2 linked regions of the Coturnix japonica genome follow. The protein of the gene in region 1 purifies or fractionates together with the protein of each later gene. This does not show direct contact. Links are inferred from orthologs where the notes say so. Each region holds a gene or a part of one and is shown in the gene's direction. Other genes may lie near its edges. The genes, in order: SLC34A2 and ENDOD1.

Region 1 (4,251 bases):
TAAACCACAGCTTACAGGAATTAGAGGGATTCACAGTTAAAAGCTTCAGCTACTTCTGAGATGGAGGTCATCAATCATAAACAACTATTTTTATAGACAGCGTTGAAAGACAGTTTTGTTAAGAAAACTGAACTTCTGAAAATGGTCCTTGAGGCCATTTCCTATCACTTCGTTCCCCTTCAGGCTGTTGTCAGGTCTCCTTGGGCTCCAACATCAGCTGTAATCAGGGTCAAGGCAGCAGCTGGCTTTACACCAGCAGGTGCTTTGCGATTCTGCAGATGGGGCTGTGGAGGCTTTGCAGCCACCACTTACACATACACATTTCTGAGACTAACGTGAGGAGCAGGTTCTGGCCCCCAGCTCCAAAGGCTGGGTGTCTGATAGATAGAAAGGTGCAAAAAGCAAGAGTTCTATTTTTCTTGCAGAGTTACTAAGTCACCGAGCTGCAGGGAGATAGCCCTGCATATGCACAGACGAAGCAGATCTGCTGATTCAGTGGCTGGTTTACAGCTTACTTTCTCAATACAGCTTGCCTGCTGAAACAGGAAAAATTCAGAGGGAATAAAACTACGGTGCCTGAAGTAGCCCCTCAAGTTCCCAGCTAAAATCATCAGTAAAATACTGATTTGTGCCTACTTGGTAATAGCTTACTGTAGTTATTGGATAACATATCTCTTTATCGCAATCTTCCTTGATAACGCTCTGAATGCAGTTATCAAAGGTGTCCTTACATCTTTAACTCATTCAGAATGAAAACCATCGCCAAAATGCTAATGAGCTCCCCTTAATCGTAAACACGGAGCACTGATAAGAAGGAAACTTCATCCTCTGTTCTCAAAGAAGTTCTTACGTGTTTCCTACTTACACCGTGTTTTATCTGATTCCCCTCCACTTCTGTTCCTAGGCAGATTAATAGGCACCCGAACGGACAAATAACAGTACTGCCACTTCTCTGCATCCTTTTGACAGACTTCTGAGATTGCAAAATATTGTTTGAAAATTACTATTGGAAAAAAGATTAACCGAGTGATCAGGCAGACTGCAATTTCTCCGGCTGGAACAAACCGTCCCATAGCACTCACATGAACACATTAGTAACTCTTACTTAAGTGCTGATGGGACATTTTTTAGAACGTGATAAGTGTGAAATAGCCTGTAGTTTTATCACTCTCGGTTGCTGCCCACTCCTTTTGAAAAAGGGTTGATCGTGATTACTGAGGTAGGCACTGCCTTCGGACTGTAAAAATGTTACTGCGTAATGATGAAAGCAAACTTTGCTCAACACCTGTCTATATATATTGCAGGTTGCAGTGGCTGCCCAGTTGGTCCGTTCACTCTGTTGCCTGGGGAGAAAGAAGTGGTAAGTAAAACCAACTAAGAGCAAGGAGTGCTGTGGTTTTTACTTTGTTTTCTTTCTTTCTTCTTCTTTTTTTCCCCTCATAAAAAATTTTAAACTTAATTAGCTTATAAATCATCAGCTCTGCTTTCACAGCTCAAGAAAAGGCAGCAGAGAGCTAATGCAGGGAGCAGGAGGGGCGTGTGAAATGTCACCCGGTTGGTAGCATTTTCAGCTTGTGTGCTTCACTGCATTTATATTTTAAGGTAGTGATAACAAAGTGTAATTCTAAAACCAAACTCTGCTACTTTTTGTTTGCAAGTAACCAGTTGTTTTAATGAAATATCATAGGAAAAGACCCGGTGTATTTGCAGCTGTCACAAGCAAAGCAAACAAAAACACAAATAATAACTGCCTATGACATAAAGATGTTATTGGTTTTGCTATTATTTGGATTGAAAAGCGGTGAGATTTTAAGTCACGGTGGTACTGGATACTGGAAAATGCCCAGGATATGATTAATGAAACATTGGAATGGAATACTGTCGGTCCATGTGCTGGTGCAGATAGCCGCAGTCTGTGTGCAGCACTACCAGGGCCAGGCTATTCTCCACGGAAACATTTTCTTATGCTAATTCAGTTTGATACACTGGGGTAGAAGGAATACATTAGTCTAATGCAGTTAGTTCAACTAATGTGACAGTAGACAGAAATCAGCTGGTTTCTCAGTAACTTTTATTAGCAGCTCTTCCATTAGATCAGTAAGTCCTTTTAATGTCATTATTCTTTCCTCTCTCCAATCTTTGCTGTATGTTTTTGTCTTTGGGATGGGGTAACTTGTTGGGTTTCCTTATTGCTGGGAACATTTTGCTGTTGCTGTTGCTTTATTCTAGAAAAAGGAATTGTTTGATTTCAGTAAATACCTCCTGGGTGTTTCAAGCAGGTCACTGAAGTTTCTCTGTTCTGGCTCTTAAGTGGCATTGTTTGGAGCTTTGCTTGGTTGTAAGTGCTAAAATTAATGTCTGGGATTTGTTTTCTCTCTGCACTAGTTTAGGCATTAGTTTTCTTCTTAGTTTTATCTTTTTTATTTAGCTTTGCCACGTGTTAGATGTGAGACAAAAAGTCAGGGCTGTATAGGAATAAGCAGTGAGTACAGTGCTGACTTTTTATTCCAGCTTTCACACATCCTTTCTTTTTTTCCTTGATTGCTTCTGCATTAGTTGAAAGCTCACAAGGTGGCTGAGCTTCCTGTCTTATTCAGACAAAAAGCCCCATGGAGGTGCCAGTGCAGAGATGGGGTTTGCTCTGAGGCTGGATCCTATCCGGCATTTGTTTACCCGGTTTTCTCTTCTGCTGCACTCGGGGCTTTGTGGCTGCAATGGGCTCTTGGGTAGAACTGTCAAGTAATGTAAAGAAACTAAATGAATTTGTGCTGGCTAAGGTCTTTCCCTCCCCATTTCAATATAATTTGCTCCTCTGTCTGAGATAATGCATTTTGAGGAAAAGCTGTATTTCTTCCAACTGTACATAAGAAGGATTACTGTGTAGCTATGTATTTACTGCTCTAAAATATGTGTAGCAAATAATGATCTTGACTAACTCATAGCACTGGCTCTCAGATCATCTGGTAAACGCCTTTTCAGCATAAAAACTGTAGCATGGTCTGGATGGCAAAAAGTGGTATGTGTTTGTGGGAAGGCTGTGAGAGGAGAGGAGAAGTGTAGAGAGTCTGTCCAAAGCCAAAATTTGATTTGGAGCTTCATAAGCAACCTGGGAATTTTTTATTTCCCCAGAAAAGCCTTGATTTCATTGGGTCTGTTCCTGTCAGGTGAGATATGTTTCAGGCTCACAGCTCATTTCGGGCACAACCTGCCCTTTCACTGGATGGTCACGGGTGGAGAGGTACAAACAATACTGTACAGGCATGTGCAAATGGAACTTCATATTCTCTGCGTTAAGTCCATCAAAAGAAACAGATTTGTCGCTGTTGCTGCTTTAAGACAGAATAATGCTGACACGGAGCCCTACAGCAGCAGCAGCAGCACTGTTACAGCTGTGCAGTGGCCAGGGACGGCAGTGAGGGTGTTGTGTGACACCAAGCGTCGCTCTTCTCCTTCCCTGGACTTTAACTCTGTCATGCAGCAGCAAGGGAGAGAACATGGCTCTGACTTCATACCTCTCACATTTTCTTGCAGCATTTGTTCCCTCCGTTTGTGCTGATCTCCCCCTGAGGAGCGGGAGGTTTCAGTTTCCCTTGCAGCCAGAAAGGACGTCACACGCAGTTAGCATTTTCCGAAGGAGAGGAAAGACTATACCTGCCGTGCCGTGGTGTGAGAGGCTTTGCTGCGTGGCTCGCTGGCGCAGGCTGGGTTACAGCCTGCACGGCGTTAGTTTTCAGCCCTTTGCAATATGCATAGTGTGCTGTGACCTGCCACTTTCCGGGGGAATGGGGCTCCTGTTTCAGCACAGCACTGAGCAGCACACTCAGCCTGTGCCCGGGGTCTAGCTGAGCTTCTCCTGGCAGCCTGTGTGGGCACAGGCCTGTCCTCTGCACATTCTCTAACATGTTCCTTTGCAGTTGTCATCAGTGCTCAAAAGAAAACCACTATTAGTGTTTTCATAGCCACCGTTTACAATGGTGCTGTGTCTGATGTCAACTAATCCGAGGAGCAGGGAGTGATGTGGGCAGCCCTGTCACCCTCTGCTCATCCAGAACACCTGGATTGTCTTCTGCATGTTTTTCTCAAGATATTAACATTTGTATTGAGGGCAAGAAAGAGTTGTTTGAAGGGAAAATTGTATCCTTGTAGAGCAGTGATCAATTAACACTAAGTTGCTGTGGCGAGGACTCTGACAACCGCAGTATCAGGTGTAAGTTATCAGCTGTAAGTTATCAGCTATAAGTTATCTTCTCC
Region 2 (2,978 bases), on another chromosome or scaffold:
GGAGGCCAAAGACAGTGGCTTGGTGAGGAAAGTGGTTGGCATAATTGCTACGCCTTTCATCAAACTTCTGGAACTCCTCATCTACCTGCTTGTGGAGCTGGTGAAATATCTGTTTTATTTTCTGTGGCTTGTTATCAAGCGAGTTGTCAGTACTCTTCTGGATGGAGTCTACAGCCTGTGGAATGGGATGGTGTCCTACCTTAAAGCCATCAGCATGGTGCTCATCAGCATCCCCTATGATGTGGGGAGGGTCATCAGCAACATCTTCTTGGGCTTTCTGGGAATTATTCAAGATGTGGCAGTCATCACCTATAGGATTCTACGCATCCCCATGGGGTTTGTCCTTCACCTCGCTTCTTTCCCTTACTATTCCATCTGTGCCATTCCCTCCGTTGTCACAGACATGGCCGCTGGGATCGGTGGCACCTTCTCGCTGGCCATTGATGCCACAGCCTCCATCCTGCATGGCTTTTATTACGTGGCTAGTCACATAGTCAAGCGGTTTATCCCTAAGGGCTCCTCTGGTGACTGATAGGGGTGGAAATCAAGGCTGCAAAGACAGAAAATGAAAGAGGAGTGGGGAAATGCTTTAAGATATGTGGCCAAACGCTGTTGATTTTGTTCTGGTATTTATTGTAAGTGACATTAATAATATGGGGAGTAACAGGGAGGGCCGAGGTAACTTCACGAGGGGACATCACCATTGCAACTCAAGCTCTATCCGTTTCAACGTGTTTGGATTCTATTGGTGCAGGTCACAGACCTGCGATTTGCAGACATCAAGCTGCTTCCTCTGGAAGATGCTCTCTAAATGTGGTACAAGGTTGTTTCTTTCCTACTGCGACAACACTGAGACCTATGCACGGGCAGTGACCTCTGCAGATGCACATCCCTCATGGTGCAGAGGTGGTGGTCTGGGGAAGGACTTCAGTTTCTGAAAGAGAAAAGTTGGGCAGAGTGCAAGGGTAAGGGGCAAGACGGGGATTGGGGAGGGAATGGGTCCGAGTCGTGCTGCTGGTTGCATTGCTCACTGCACTGGAGTCTCTCCAGCAGAGCCTGAGAAGGAATTTGGCTGGGTGTGTTTCACAGCTCTCCAGACCTGCTGCCAGCTCCTTCCCTTCACCACACCGAGCTCGCTTTCCCTGAACTATTCCCTGGTGACCAATCAAGATCTCAACCCCGAATTCCTTGCCCTGGCTGGTGGGCTCCAAAGCCCAGTAGAGCCATGTAGGTGATACTTTTGGTCTTGAATCAATCCAAGGTCTTGTATCAGTCCAAGTAGCCTGCCCTACTTCTGTTCAGAGCTGGCGGTTCATCCAACACACAGCTGGATGTGCCAGAGATCTCTGCTGGATGTGCCCAGGCTGCGGATTGGTACTGTCCTGGTCATCCTTCTTAGGCATATTGTGCAAGTGCACCTCAAGCAGCAGGGGGGTTGAAATCAGATTATCTTTGAGGTCCTTTTCAACTCAGGCCACTCTGTGAATTCTATGATTCTGAAATGATCCTCCTGTAGGACTGCTCTGAGTTGGTGGCAGCACTGATGTACGTACAAGAGGGACAGGGGGAACTCATGACAGGGGAAGAGCAAGGGAGCCCTGTGGGTCATTTTGCTGCTTTCACTGATTTTATGTCCTAATAGACCTTGCCTGGAGAGCAGCTGGAGGTGAGGGAGGCCTGGGGCACAGTTTGCATTCTGCTCCATATATCTCTGTCCAGTGACTCCATTATGAGCAGCGTTCATGTCAGAAGGGCACCTGTCCCTCACCTGCACTCCCTGTCCTCACTGCTCCTTTTTCTTCAGCCCTTGTTCCCATGGGTGTGACGTTGTGGGGACAAGAGAAGAGGGAAGGTCTAATCATGCAAAATCAGCAACGTTTGACTAATCCCTCCTTTGTACTGAAGCTGTCAGTGCAGCGGTGGGCACCAGTGTGTGTGTGCCCCAGGGTCCAGGATGTGGTGGCACTGATGTCCAAATGCAGCTCCAGCCGCCCCCCACATGCCTCTCTTGTGCCTTAAGCATAGCCTTATCTCCAGACTGCTCTCATATCCCAGTGCACTGTGGAATTGATGTCACCATATCTCCATCATCACCTAGTGAGGTTGAGGCCAGCCCATCTCTGTGCCGCAGCCCTGGTCACAGAGCAGCCAGTTCTTGCCATCCAGGAGACCGCAGCACTGTAGGATTCAGGCAGATGTGGAGCCACACTGTTACAGCTGTCTGAACACGCTCGGATTCCAACATGAAGAACCCTGACCAGCACCAGGTCATTTGTCTTCTCTGCTGCATGTCTGAGCAGGCAGTGGGAAATCTGCCTGAAACACCCAGTAATTGTTAGAGAACGAGCAACATCCTGCTGCAGAGTATTGTTTCAGATCATTCTTATCTGGGCATGATTTATGGCTTGTGAGCTTTACTCTGTCCTTGGGAATGTATGGCTTTAACAAAATAAAAGTGACTTTTGCAAAGAGGGACGGCTATATCACGTTTCTGTCTCAACTGGAGATAAGATAACGCAGCCGCGCAGTTGTTCTTTGTTATGGTTTGACATCTGATATTAATGATCCTTTTGTGCTTTTAAAACACCTTTGCATTATCAAAGCACATTAAAAGAGTTAATTCATTAAGGTACAGAATACGTGAGTAAGAGCTGGGGGTTGCAGGCAATGCGTTTAGCTACGCATGTGCCTAAAGAACCCCTTGCCAAGAGAGGCTGGTGTGTGGTGGGAAGGGACTGAAGCAGGAGGGGAAGGGAATAGGGGCTGATGAGCTCCTGCTCTGCAGGGATTGGGATCCCTCTGCCCAGGGTGGATGATCTTAGGACAGGAGAAAAGGCTGGGAGCGGCTATTTCAGGTTGCTCTGTGCTGATACATCTCCCTGAGCACATCCCCCAGACAGGTCTGTGTGCCTTTAGGATCTGCAGCTCAGTGCTTGAGAGCTGCCCTGAGACACAGGCAGACCAAGGGGAGGGGCTGG

What was found.
Region 2: the proteins of SLC34A2 (region 1) and ENDOD1 purify together in Homo sapiens (co-immunoprecipitation; 3 studies listed by BioGRID and IntAct, counting the BioPlex papers as one, with this or other methods). This does not show direct contact. The link is inferred for Coturnix japonica from reciprocal best matches to the Homo sapiens genes SLC34A2 and ENDOD1.

Annotation. Positions count from the first base shown.
Region 1 is NC_029519.1:66,479,934-66,484,184, reverse strand, and holds the start of SLC34A2 (sodium-dependent phosphate transport protein 2B), read left to right. Parts: upstream 1-1,295; 5' UTR 1,296-1,360; intron 1,361-4,251. UniProt on the Homo sapiens protein: Involved in actively transporting phosphate into cells via Na(+) cotransport.
Region 2 is NC_029516.1:165,884,265-165,887,242, reverse strand, and holds the end of ENDOD1 (endonuclease domain-containing 1 protein), read left to right. Parts: coding exon 1-532; 3' UTR 533-2,473; downstream 2,474-2,978. UniProt on the Homo sapiens protein: May act as a DNase and a RNase. Plays a role in the modulation of innate immune signaling through the cGAS-STING pathway by interacting with RNF26.